Linked DNA regions of Mytilus edulis. The protein of the gene in region 1 interacts with the protein of each later gene in a pairwise test. Links are inferred from orthologs where the notes say so. Each region holds a gene or a part of one and is shown on either strand. Other genes may lie near its edges.

Region 1 (7,292 bases):
ACTTCTTTGTGAAAATAATTTGAAAATAGAAAAATAAATCGGTTATTCATTTGTTGTTTCATAATGGAAATTGTGTACTTCTTTCCCCCTCTCAGCTCTCCATCTGTTGTCAAGGTTTCAAGAGTGGTAGCAGGGGAGATAATTTCTGGCTTATTACCGGAATGTGTAATGAGGGCAGAAACCAATGGCTTTTAGAGGTGTTCATCTGTTGTAAATATGTTATGCAGTCAGACATATTAAAAATAGCATTTACATCACTTGAGGAACATAATATCTATTACCCATGCCAATTCCTAGTGTAATAGCCAAAAAATGTCCACATATCTAATCTACAGAATACACACAGCATGAACTTCAAATAAAATCTGCAGGGACAAAACAGGGAACTAGATGTGACTTTAGAAAGTAACTGATGCTGATGTCAAAGTCTATTAATTTTTCATTAAATTTCTTTTTAAGATAAATGCTGTTTAAAATTTCTAGTTTATATATTTTATAAGTTAATTGTTCAGTTGAATTTTCTTAAAAGGAAATTGTGCACACTTAAAAAATACTTGTTTTAGTAGATTTATAATTTTCCTTTTCTTTATTGAATATCTTGCTACAATCTGATTTAAGATCCAGAAGTAAAATTACAACAAATCCCTTGATAAATCATCAAAATTACATAATAGCGAACTTCCCTATCAAAGTTTGTTAAATTTTTTAGCCTGGGTTAAAAACCTAGTTACGCCACTGACATGTTATCTAACAGTGACCAATCAATGCACAATGCAACTGTACACTGGTGTAGAGGTCCACTCAGGGAGAGACATAAAATCAAATTTCATACTTTGTAAAAAAAATTATTTCAAAAGCATCAAAATTCAATTGTGATAAAAATAAAGCATTAAGTGTTTGTCCAACATTGATTTTTAAAACTGGGTGTTAAATGTTATGAAAAAATACATTATTCAACAGTCTATTGCACATTGTGCATTCAAAATGCAATTTAAACACCTATTATTGTTAAAAAATCAAATTTTAAAAGGCTGTAAAAAGTAATTTATCTAATATGAAAATAATAAAATATGATCGATGGTTAGTTAGAGGCCTTTGAGAACAGGGTAGCAAAAAATGTTGCTAGACATTTAAGCCTCAGACAAGGTCAAAATGTCTTATCTAAAATTACACAATAAACATGCCCTGACTTTCAAATATATACACCAGTTCTATAACACCTATATTTATGGACACTATGACTCATATCTTTTTTTTGCTGCCCACTCTCATATATTACACAATCCAGTGACCATATACAATAATACTTCACTAATGTATGCAAACATTTAATGCATATAACACTAGACATACATATAAAAACACCATGGGAAAATATAATATACATTGAAATTGGTGAAGATTATTAAAATGAAACAGTTTATCTTAACCTCTAAATTAACATACATGTGCGCATACTGCTAAATTTCTTCCAGATAAAAAGTTCCCAAAACTATTTTTTGAAATTTTTAGTAGGAAATGGAAATAAGTATTCTTATTTTTCTTTCAAATAAAATCATCTATTTGATAAAGTTCATTCAAATAAAAAAAAAAAAGGAAAAAATAAAATGAGAGAGAGAGGGAGAAACATTTATCAGAAAAAAATTTAAAAGATTTAAAATAAAAACTAACTAAAAGTACACCTCTGATGACAATACAATACTCACTATATATTCTTCCAATATAAATTAATTTCTATTTTTACTATTTCCATTCATGTATTAAAAATCAATGAAGTTTGTTAATCCAAAAATACTGGGTTATAAAGAACTGAATGTAGAAAGATGACACAAATACTGTCACCAAAATGAAACATTCTATACTTTAAACAGGTGCTTGAAATTAATGTAGATATAAAAACCAATCAGTCTTTTTGTTTAATAGTTGATGAAAAGAGATGTCGAAATTGAAAAGAAAAGAATGTGTATTGTCGCGTCACATGTGTATTACAACATAACTGAATACACAACTAATACGTAACCTTGTCCCCGTTGGTCAACACACATATTTGACATGGTCCACGGTGACCATTTTATATTTAAATAAAAAAATAGAAAATAAAAGAAAGACAATATAAAAAAAATGACAACTTACGAGAATCTAGGGTCCGTCTTTGTGGTGGCCGCCCCTGTTTTCTCCTGGACATGTTGTTATGCTCATTAAAACCAACTCTCCACTGCCTTTTCTACATCTGGACAAAGAATATCAACAAAGATGGCGGATTTTCATGTAATGTGTCTTCTTCACCTGTCTTCTTACTTATCTTCCATTCCAAAGTTTACATCATCAGGACAAGTCCTTTGGGGTCACTTCAGGTCACTTATGCCACTGACCGCTACAACGTAATGAACACTGACCACGATCAGGAAATACCCTCTCGACGAATGAAAGCAACTGTTTATCGTGGAGACCTTTTGTAGTGGACGTAAATATCCTATTTCTTACGTGAACTTAAATAGATCTACGATATAATAATGTATTTTGTGTATTGTTCTAGTTTCAGTTTATAGAAATCAACATCAAGCACATGTCACTTTCATCGCCATCATTTAGTCCAGTTGAGTTGCTGCGGCCGTTCTCATCCCGGTAAAGTCACTGACTCCTGACCAAACATATATATATGTATGATTTCAGTCATTAATCAATATAAAATAACATATTGGGTTTTTGAAAAGTAAAATTTTGTCGTCAAAACGCCTTGTAATCGTGCGGTCAACTGATGCGTGGTGGCCCGTAATGTTACAAGCAAATGACCCCGCCGACCGGCACAGTCTATTACATCAAAAGGGGTAAGAGGTTTGCGCAATATTACGTGATTTTACATCTGCAAGTGTGACCATCATTTCCGCATGTGTATTCACCAATAATTTCTGCATTCCGTTTGCATTTACAGAAACTGCTGGCACTTGCTAACTGATTGAATTGACACACATATATACTATAAATAAATAAAACACCTTGAAGTTGTCTGTTTTTGATTGTAACGGTCACTTACTTTCTGGTCAATGTCCGATATGATAAGTTTTTAATGACAGTTTTGTCCAATGGTTGTGTATCAGTTGATCAAAGTGATAAGAGAATCTAACAAAGAAAAACATATCATAAATTATTTATAGATATTGATTCAGTGGACAGTTGCTTTTTAATATTTTCTTCATTATTATATGTTATTGAATAATGTTATGTTTAAAGGGAAATAAACGCTATTATACAATCTTACCCAATCCAAGTTTTTTTCTTCTGCAATACATATTCCTTATCGTCGACACCTTGTAGCTTGTAGTTCATTTCAGGTGAACAGCTGACCTTAAATAACCGTTGTCCAGACGTCTATTAAATACCATGTTATCGATCAAGACTGACCACAACTGACCAAAGGTCAACTCGGGTGATAGCCAGTGGTCATTAACGGAAATGTTTGTGTATTCAACAGGTGGACACGATTATCTCTACGGAAATAAAGAAAACATTTGAAGTGAATAACGGATGACTAAAAGCAACAGTATTATTATAAGTAATATTAATAAATTATATTCAATATTTATTTTAGTTACTAAGATAAAATAATATAAAAATATTAAAAGTTTGATTAACACGTAAATAAAAATAGACTGGTAATTTATATAGTACGCTTTCTATGAAATTTTTCTGATGCCAAGGAGTGATTTAAAGAAAGTATTGGTAAATTAAAAAAAAAAAAAAAAAAAAAAGGAATAAAAAAAATTAAAAAAAAAGAAAATAGAATAGTAATATTTATTGCACGCACTCTATGATGTTTTTCTTACTTATTTTAAGGATTCGAATTAAAGTAAAAAAATACATCGAAAAAAAATAAAAAAAAGAACCAAAATCAAAAGAACAAATATTAGATATACCCCGTTGGATCATCATGTCTTAAATCAGCTTATTTTTTTTTTGTGTTTTCTGATTCATGAAGATGTGTGATTTTTGTTGCACATGCAGTCTTTGTATGTTAAAGATATTAACAGGTTTCTAGGCTCGGAGCGAGAGATTCACAATACTCCGTACGCACTGAAATCCGTTTGCGCCAAAAATGCGTCATTTTGCTCTAGAACTTTTTTCTCCAATACTACGTTTGCTCAAGGACGTATAACTTTAAAATTACATAGTATCATTTTATTTAAAGCTTGAATTTTGTAACTCATTTTACACACAAAATTACTGTGGCTGAGGTCTCCTGCATATATATCTCATACTTTTGAACGGCAAATGTTTTCTTTTCTGAACGGGTACTTTGTTATATTGGTATGTTTTACGGTAGATGGGATTTTAGCTCTTACGTCATGGAGGGTCCAAAGCATTATCATCAAATACAATAGTGTATGGAAAAATGCGTACAGGTTAATTGGCACAAATTGATGAGTTCCGAATATTGGCGCAATAGATACATTTGTGAAAGATTAATTTCTAGCGCAAAGGATACCTTTGAAAAACAGTAATTGGCGCAAAAGAACTCCTGCCGTATACGCAGTTGTAAAATACTGTATATTGGCACAAACTAATGATTTCCGAATATTGGCGCAATTGATACATTTGAAAGAAAAAAAATAGCGCAAATGATACCCTTGAAATACAGTTATTGGCGCAAAAGGACTCCTGCAGTACATGCAGTTGTAAGGTACTGTATATCAACCCTGAGTGATTTTTAGGATACTGATATCGAGGCAAACCTCTGTATCTATACATATAATATATATTCGAAACCGCAAGGATTCTCATTTTTCATTTCTCTTAATCCCTTAAAGGATTTGATTTTCATGGATGTGGTTAATTGTAATAATGTCATACAAGTCTTGAAAAAAATGAGTTAAGCTAAACAAGGCTTAGTATAATGAGACGGTACCGATTCCTCATGAGAATAAGTAATACGCAGCTTTAAATTCGATCTTGACGTAACCATGTTGAATATACAAATAATTCTAAGTAATATACTTCATGGACCTTGCGACATTATCCATGTATTTATAGAGTGAAAGTATGTTATTCAGTGCTTAACTTGATGTTGGTGATTATTTTGATAAATTGATACAAGTTTTAATTTTTTTCTGTAAAATAAAAAAAATAATATGTGGTATCCTTCCATGACAGAAAATCCATGAGTTCATGTATAGACACAAACACCGAAAATGCAAAGGAACAGCGCTTTTGTTGCCGTTTTCTTCTCAAATTCACAGTGAGGACTTTAAAACTCTCACCTTACTGCAAATTATGACTGACCCAAGAACCAATTTGAGCGGAATTTTTGCAAAAATAATTTGGAAAGACTTTGTAATATGTAACACCACAAAGTCGGGCAAAATATGGTTCTGTAAGCGTTAATTCAAGCTTGTGAACGGTAAAGGAACCAGCGAAACGCCCGACGTTTGTTGGTAAGCCATGGATCGAACGACGCCTGGTACGTGTTTGGGCAGTATAGTACACTGATGCAATAGTTGGAGCGGGAATCTGCCAGTGATTTCGTTGAATTCATACAGATGATGCCTTGCCGCGATGATGTTTCAACAGCTTTCTCTGAGAGTCGCATCACAGTGGCACAACAGTCGAACGACAGTGGCACGACAGTGACGCGCATCCCATGACATGAAAACCTGAAAAATAGCCCAAACAACTCACGATTGTCGTACGATTATCGCACGACTGTCACACGACCGACTTGCGACACACGCACGACAGTACAATTACAATTTCTTTTTAAAATATCCAGCTTTATTACAAAAAGACTAGATTTTGGTTAAGCTTACTCTTTTTATTTATTTTTTAAAGAATACTACAAAATTGCAAATTCAACCTATCATTTTTTTTTAAAAGTCTTGAGTCATCTTTCCCGGGCATTCATATAATTAGGCTACAAGTTTAGAAAAACGAAATAGTGTTGAAACAAACTAATGTAAGGCTGTGATACTGCACAGTTAAGTATACGGGTTTAAGAACGTTTTTCGAAAACACCATTATAATTTGAAATGGACGAAGATAAATATATAGATGTTTAATATAGACTCTCTTCCGGTAGCGGGATTTTCTCGCTGCGTTGTAGATCGACTGTTTTCGGCTCTTTGGTCGGGTTGTTGTTTCTTTGACATGTTCCCAATTTCCATTCTCAATTTTATCTTTCTGATAGGTTGATGCTGCAAAACGCGACCGAAAAGGCGAGGGATAGGCGTCGCTTTCCGATCTCGAAGATGAAACTTGACAGATTATATTTCTGCTATCCACCACTTTACAGATCAATATTTTTTTATAGGCCAGTGTATATGCAGTATAGAGGAGAAAACACGAGTATAGTATGAACCCATTTAAAGTATAACATAACTACAAAATGTATATTTCAAAAGGCAGGGGGGTCATTCCCATAATTTTCATTTTTATAAATATGGATAAGATATTGTACAATTTCTGTCTTTTGATGAGGTAAATGTGTGGTTTTATTGATTTAAAAAAAAAAATGATATTCACTTAGGCCTAAGGCCGATATGAATGTCACTAGGTTTTTCAAAAGTCAAATAAACCACATATTTACCGAAACAAAAGACAGTAGTTGTTTTGTTCCATGTTCAAAAAGAGACGAATTATTTATAAAGCAACAGTTATTTAAACAAAACCAACTAAACGTCAAACAGTGTATCGTTATTATGTACACGTAAAAGCACGCGACGTTTTGTGCGGTGAATATACTTTATTCAAAATCCCTATCATTTTAAAACAAGAGGCTGTCACAACGACAGCAAACCGGATTTATTAATATTTATTTGTGTCCTGGCAATATCACAAGAACCATTACTGATGAATGGTGAAAGTGAAAATCGTCAATATCAAATTTGACCTCCATTTTGTCATCAGTATCAACATATTAAAATTTGAAAAGCTTAGATTGAATGGTTCATGAGTAAATGCAACAACGTGAATGGAAACGCCATTTTACAATCTTTCAAGAACCATAACGCCTGAACGGTAAAAGTCAAAATCATCATTATTGAACTTGACCTCTATTTTATCATCAGTAACAACATATAAAAATGCCAAAAGCTTTGGTTGAATGATTCATGAGAAAATGCACGGACACGACTGGAAACACCATTTTTCAATCTTTCAAGAACCATAACTCCTGAACGGTAAAAGTCAAAATCGTCATTATTTAACTTGACCTCTATTTTGTCATCAGTAACAACATATTAAAATTTGGGAAGCTTTGGTAGAACAGTTCATGCGTAAATGCACGGACACAACTGGAAACT
Region 2 (7,975 bases), on another chromosome or scaffold:
GTTTGTTGATCTATTTCGTTTTAATATTTGACATAACCAGAAGATATTTTTGTAATTGATGCCAAATATTCTACTTTCACATAGATTATTTAGACATCAACCCCCGTCAGCATTTGTGCAAATATGAGAAAAACAGAGGCAAATACAAGAAAAACAAAAGTCACCTGGCTTATCAAACGATGGAATAGCCAGAGGCAAAATCTGTGTTTTGATTGGTTAATTTCAATTTAATCCTAAACGTGATGATGGTAATCACATTAAAATGACACCACTGTTGGTTTATTGTTAATTTATATCCACGATAACTACATTTGCCAAAATATGTTTGTCCAAGAATTGAATCGTTGTTTTGATTAAATCATGACTGTAATGATGCAATTAATTTGCTGTCGATTTATCAAATCAAACGATTACAAGCTCCATGTCGTATAGCTCAGCGTAGTTTTCATTTGGATATAGGGTTTATATTAAGCATCGAACAAAAGCAATTTAATTTTCATTCAAAAACAGCTTCTTACAATCTGATTTATTACACCCAACATGGAATTATTATATAACACCTCCATGATCCATGTAAATCTACTAAAGCTTTTTTCAAACACAAGTTAATCGTGCATGGTGTCATTGCTGCGCGTGCTCCCTGAAAAAGCAACCACAGCGGACCAGCATTCAATTAAATGCAAGTGAAAATGTCTTTGATCATAATTTTTATATTTTGTGCGTTTTAGTCCTGTACGAATTGGCTATCGATGGCAGTTTGAGTTTTAAGTTACCGTGATTTTGTAAAAAAAAAAAAATTAAAAAAATATGAATTGTCACGTTCACCATTTCGACCCTCTTTAGTTGCCTCTAAGTTTGAGTTGGAATCGTTTTGATTAATCTTTTAGTTTTCTTTAAAATGGTTCACAACTATTCGTTTATTCTCTTAACCAACTGGTCAGTGTTTGGCGAGTGTAGCAGTTAAAAAATAATGCTGAAATTTTCCCAGCCACACTTTGATCTGAACAAAGAAAACATGTTTGTTATTTGGTTAACCATCCACTAGGGAAAAGCTTAATTTATACATGTAGCAGCCAAATTATTGAATTTGCATTTCTCGATTGCAAATGAATACAAAAATAAGGTTCTTGAATTTCCATAATAGAGTATATAATCATCAAAAAATAGAAGAGTCTTTTTCAGTGAAGACATGTACAATGCGTCAGAACAAACATATTAACTCATCATAGATACAAGGAGTAAAATTTTACTGGTTTATGAAATATAATGAAAACATTTTAATGTTGATTCTTAATAGATTACATGCTGTATGGCACAGAAAGAACTAAAAAGACATGTTGCATCAATTCGAGACTGTTGTACTTTCCAGCCAACATGGTTATCTATATCATAAGTAGCCTATTGAGTTAAGCCACTAAATTGTGTCTTTCTATGTTGTGTTGTTGGACTATTGTTTCAGGATTGGGTGAAACTTGGTGCCTATTTGAACGTTTAAACCTGCTGCAATTTTATTTTGCACCTATCCTAGGTCAAGAACCTGGTGTTCAGTAGTTGTTTGTTGATCTGGTTCATAAGAGTTTATCGTTTTTTATATGGATAAGAACTTTGGTTTTCCTGTTTGAATGGTTTTACACTAATAATTTTTTGGCCCTTTATAGCTTGCTGGACGGTGTGAGCTAAGGCTCCTTGTTGTGGCCGCACTTTGACCTTTGATGGTTTACTTTTTCCAATTGTGAATTGTCTTATTGGCACTCATACCACATCTTCTGATATCTATTATGAGTATGAAATGAAATTATTACTTATTGTATTTATCTTGTGTGTAGTTTTGTTTTAGGAAAAAGACAATACCTGTACGCATTATGATTTTTAATACATTGGTTTTCTATTTTCGAATCATTTTTCACCTTGTTAGACATTTACAAAGAAACTGCTGTCCATGAAATCCTATATCTTTTGCATACATGGCCTAATTTCCGAAACCAACAAGTACATGCATAGCTCAACATTTCATGCAATTGAGAAAAAAAAATGTGATAGAAGTTATTTCAGATATTTCAAAATATGTCTTGTATTTTGTAGAAATATAAATGGTTTAAGAAACAACAAAGATTAAACTGAATCACAGTAAATCTACTTGAAAATAATATTCCAAAATCTAACAAAACTTAGCTCTTGAAACAATTTAAATCTACATTAAAGGTTTTGGTCGGTGAAGCTCCTTGGGAATCTTTCCTATATCTTGTCCTATATGTAACACCTGTGAAAAAGACATCAATGCTATTATTTGCTAAATAACAAAAGAAACAAACATTATCATATCTAATTGAAAGTTTTAACAATATAACTTGTATAGACGTATACCAATTACCTGCAAGTTGTCTTCTAACTAAGTTGATGAAGTGGGATTATAAAACACAAATGGGATGTCTACGTTACATATATATAATACTTTCTATTATTACTATTGTGTATTGAAAAGACGGATCAACTGGTTAAGACTGAGACAAGTGGCTAACGTATTTTCAGACGATGCGACATCATTCCTATAGTCATTTTGTTTAAAACTTACAGATGGTTTAATCTATTTCTAATTGCCACTAAACGGCAGACATTGTCAAATGTGATTATTTTTAATCTGATACAAATTGCCAGTCAGTCGTTTAAGATAATCAAGGTTAGAATCTTATAACAAAATTAGTTCTTCAACTGTAAAGACACCAATTGTTTTCATCACTAATTTGTCTGGAAACACATGACGTTGCTTAAAAGATTTATCTCAAGAACTGTGAATATAGAAATAAGATTTACATAGTTTAATTGACAATGAGACAACTTTCCACTAGAAATTAAAGGATGTAAAAATAAGCAACCATATAAAGGTCACCGTACCGCCGTCAACAATGAGCAAAACACATACCCCATATATAGCTAGATATAGAAGACCTCAAAATAACAAATGAAACAATTGTACAATTTTTTTATTTACCTCATCCTTCATTGTGATTGAATGCGGGGAGATTGTTTCACCCATCTTGTGTTTGTGTACATGTCCCAATCCAGGAACATCGCCCGTGGTAATGTAGGTTGTCTTTTGTGCGATATCTTAATGTATTGTAATTTTTGTGAACTTGGACAAAACGACAGATCTTCGATTGTCTCTTCAAAGTCATTCCCAACTCTAAAAGCTTTACATATTGAATATATAGAAACAAGACCACGAGCCAAAGCTCCGTGTTGAAGACCGTACTTTGATTTATACTGGTTTACTTTTATAAATTGTAACTTTGATGGAGAATTGTCTCATTGGCATTCATACCACATTTTCTTATATCTTTACTAAGTTGATACTAATGCAATACTTTCTTTTATATATACACAATGAGATGTGCTTAGATTGCCCGAGAGCCAACTTTCCAACAGAAACAAAGGGACAAGGATGAATACAACTATATTTATAGGTAACCGGGGGGCCTTCAGCAATAAGCAAATCCCGCATCGTGTACAACTCTTTAAAATGATACGGAATGACAAAATGTGAAATAATTTAAAAGAGAAAGCAATCGACCGAATTTGTACTAAAACACCATAAATGTAACATAACTACACTTTACAAAAAACCATCACAGGTACATGACCCGATGGACGAGGCCTCACATACATGTTCATTGATGCTGAAGCTATGTATATTGAATATCCTTGACGTATAACACAAATGAAAATCAGAAAAATCTGCAAGGGTTCTAGTTTGAAGACACCCCTACAATAGTCTAGAATAACGCCTTTTGTATCGGCTCGCGACATTTGTAGCATGCAAGACTATATGTAAAATTGTATTGATATTCTGTTGCTCTGAAATGCTGTATAATTAATTTAAAAGAGTAAAAAAGGAATTAAATGATTTAAAAAAATATCTTAGTGATGGGTTTGTGCATCATCGCGTCGATGCAGGTTAAATTTTGCATAAAAACCCCATGTTTTTCCGAGTAGATAAATTTCATTTAATAGATAGATTTTAATCCTACAAGTTACAGCGGTTTACCTTTACAGCTATGTAAGTAAAACAGAGAAATTAAATTTATAACAATCAATAGTAACTGCATTTAAATTATTTTAAGGGTGGTGGAATTTATCTATCTTCTTCAAGACCATAACAAAATGATCATACTCATATTTTGCTTTTTTGAATTTGCGCAAATTTTATAAATCTAAATTCAAATTTAAATTTCAGTAAAAATAGAAAATAACATTGATTCATTGTTGGTTGTTTAACGTCCAGTGACAATTATTAGGAAATAACAATTAAATCTATAAATAATAATATTATATGAATCAATTAAACGATAAATACTATTTTCCATTCTCAATGTTGTTAAAAACATATGATGCAACGTAATAATAATTATATAAATATAAAATTTATAACAGTGTTTATTAATTGTTCTTACGATTTTCCAGATATAAAGTCTAGTACAATGAATCTAATTTTATCCTATTAAAAAAAAACATTTTTCTACATCTGTATTTGTAAAATACCCGATTATAAAGCATAAAAGTGAAAGGATATTTAATTTAAATCTCTGAACTGATACAGCTTTACCCTTATCAATATTTAGTTAAGGTAACAGGAGGGTAGATCATCTACAATATATTGTATTCTATTGACAAATCAAATGCAAACAAATTTTCACCTGTCCTTAAAACGACTCGTTACAATGCCTCTAATACGCAACACCTTTGTTGTAAAACAGCCAATCGCTCGTCGATTTGACTCGGGTATTCAAAAGGAATAATAAAACGGGTAGTCAATCAAATAGCATTTTAAAAAGTGTGAATAACAAAAACGTTTGGTCATTTTATAAAGTTAGTCAAGGGACTTCGGACATTTAAATCCACTTTCTATGGACTTATAACAAGTGATAAAGTTTAATATTTGGTTTCATCAACAGACTTAAAGCTGACAGCATCCATGATGAATAAACCTGCAGGAACTTCTAGTAAGTAGAAGTAAAGTACATAGGTAGTCATATAAAACAAAACGTTTCGTACTTACTAATTGCTTTTATTAACTTTAAAGGTAATGATTTCAACAGATCTATGATGACAACTTTGGGTGGTTTTTTTTCTTTTGATAAACAGGAACATATACAATGTTTTATTCTTCATGAATCTTAACTGAAAAAAAATTAGTCTGAAGAGTAAGTCTTTTTTAAAATAAAAACAAAAATACAATTTAAATGCAAAAAATTGCTCTCTGGCAAAAAATAAAAAACTTAAAAAAAACAAGGAATAAAAGCAATGTCACTAGCTCTATATTTACTAAGAGCTCTAATATTTACTAATAATTTATACAAATACATAAAAATACTGATACGGAAAATAGTCAAATACAGTTTTATCTGAGTTGATAATTTGATGCCGCTTTTGACTCTTCTGGAGTGTTGTCTCATTGGCAATCACACTACATCTTCTTATTCTTATATATAAGAACAATACATATTTTAGGTGGAAGTAAACCGTTAAAATCAGAACATTTTATCAATATAACAGCAATAAGTTGTCAATCTGCAATTCTATCTTTTATCCACAATATTAACATGTATGTAACAGCACATATTAACTTTTGAAACTTAGTTCAATTACTATCTGTAAGAAATATTAAAGAATTAAATAATCTGGGTAAATACCTGTATGAGGCAGAGAAAATCCGTAACACTTAATTTTTTTGTTAAATGTACTTTTATTACCAATGTAAATTGTATGCCAAACTCCGCTATATATTAATGCTGTATATGTCTATGTAAACTGTATAATTTGTGTATCTGTTTAATTCTATGAGCTGTATATTTGCTTACGGAATAAAGAATTATTATTTAGGGAGTTTGAAAGATGTGTCAATTAATTTTATTTTGAATTGCAATTAGATTATATTGAACAGTAATATTTTATATAAAAAAAACATTTCTTGCCTATTAATAAGAAGAACATTTTTGGATTTATACCTGCAATAAATATCTTTACCATTTTTTTAATTTTAAATAAAGCATATTGTATTGTACTGCGTTTATATTATGCTTTTTAATTGTGATTTCATGATTTTGTGCAAGCTTATCTGATGCTCTTATGTTAAACATAGTAGTACAATGTATATATATTAAAGTAAATGAATCTTTATCACTTTGTAACTGATTGAAATTAAGTTATATGTTGCTTTTTTATGACTGATAGACTAGTAGTTCAAAGATAGAAAACGACGTTTTTGCGTATATATATTTTCGTTTTTGCTCTCCTTTTTTGGGGATAAATTTCCTTTAAAATTTCTTTCTCGTCCAGTTTTCTGCTTATTAAGTATACTTTTTGGATCCTAGATGCTATGTCAACAAATGTGTATTTGAATACGTAAGCCTTTATCTAATTATTGTCTACTTAACATCTTAGTATATCCAGGGGCATGTCCATTTCGTACGAAAAAGCAAAGTTTGCCAGAACCATTTAACAAAACATGCAAACTTAACTTTTCAACATGAAGGGAGTCCTTTCATCTGGAAAGTGTTTACCTCACATTAAAATAGGATAATAGAATCCAGAGACATATACGTAGACATCGACTCCGGAAAGTCAGTTCAACTACAAAAGAAATTAAAGGAAGTCCAAAGGAAATTAACAAGATAATTGAAATAACAAATTGTACTTAATTATCTTTGCACGCGAGCACATTATTTGCAGACGATAAAGTTTACTGCTTCTTTAAGTCGTCATAGACACCACTAGAGGATTTAGAAGGCTTTTTTCTAAATTTTGTTTGCATCATAACGACCAAATTATAATCAAATGATTGGACAAAATGTATATATTTTGTAACATCAAAGGTGTAGAGATTGCACCATAAGAGTACACAAATCAAAAGCACTTTGATCATTTAAAGCCATTTCTTATTATTTAAAGTAAGTAAAAATGTGCTTTTAGTACAATTAAAAAAAATCAAAAAAATCTGTTAATTCGGTGCAGTACAAAAGATAGGGGAAAAAGAAGAAAAAAGCAATGGTCTAATTATTCTATACATATATAATTTTAATCTGTGTATTAATTATGTAGCATACATATAGTATTTCTGTGATTTAGTTTTTTTTTTTAAATCTAATTTTTGTAGTACAATTTATAAAATGTATTTTTTTTGGTAAAGTCTTAAAAAAATAAATGACAATTTTCTGCACTTGAGCTATCATTTAAAGGCAATTGTCATTGAATAAGCCTCTACGACACGTTGAGTAATATTTGTACTTGAATTTTTATTTGAATCGAGTTGAAAATTAAATATTTTTGTAGACTGGCAAAAGAGGATCATAGGTGTTAAATAATTTTGCCTTTTTGACTGTGGATTGGTGTAAATCTATTATTTTGAAAAACAGATATTAATTTGTTACATTGCAATCGTGTCCTAACTAAGCGGCTTTGAATCTACTGTACATTAAAAGAGTCAACCCTTATATCCCCTTTGAAAGAACTGTCGTAATACACTAAAAATTTACACCAATATAAATGACCAATTTGTGGATTTGACACGTTCTACGTTAATCAAATTGTCGACTTTTAACAAATTGTTTCAAATAACGTGACAATGGTGAATACATTGGATAACATACAAAAAACATGTGTTTAATTCGGGAATTTTAAATGAAATAAATTCCTCAAAAGATAAAATAATTGTAACACCTGCCTGAAAAAGTAAAAATTACTTCAATGTCATAAAGATGATTCTTCTGAAATACATTGGAAAGTAAATGTCAAATATTTGAAGATGGTTGCAATATAACGTTGACATTGTCATTAAACGATTACTTAATAAATGACTGTGTCTAAATTGAAATTTTCGTCTTTGTTATTATGCTACACAATAATTTATGTCTATGGGTCTTTGAATTTATTAATTTTAAGTAAACACATGTATTACATTGCTAACGTTTATGCAATACCG

Evidence for each region.
Region 2: the proteins of B-cell lymphoma/leukemia 11A-like (region 1) and nuclear receptor subfamily 2 group E member 1-like interact in a two-hybrid assay, tested with the Homo sapiens proteins (2 studies listed by BioGRID). The link is inferred for Mytilus edulis from reciprocal best matches to the Homo sapiens genes BCL11A and NR2E1.

Annotation. Positions count from the first base shown.
Region 1 is NC_092346.1:7,240,041-7,247,332, forward strand, and holds the start of B-cell lymphoma/leukemia 11A-like, read right to left. Parts: upstream 3,116-7,292; 5' UTR 2,186-3,115; coding exon 2,134-2,185; intron 1-2,133. UniProt on the Homo sapiens protein: Transcription factor. Associated with the BAF SWI/SNF chromatin remodeling complex. Binds to the 5'-TGACCA-3' sequence motif in regulatory regions of target genes, including a distal promoter of the HBG1 hemoglobin subunit gamma-1 gene.
Region 2 is NC_092353.1:25,811,519-25,819,493, reverse strand, and holds the start of nuclear receptor subfamily 2 group E member 1-like, read left to right. Parts: upstream 1-4,828; 5' UTR 4,829-4,969; coding exon 4,970-4,997; intron 4,998-7,975. UniProt on the Homo sapiens protein: Orphan receptor that binds DNA as a monomer to hormone response elements (HRE) containing an extended core motif half-site sequence 5'-AAGGTCA-3' in which the 5' flanking nucleotides participate in determining receptor specificity.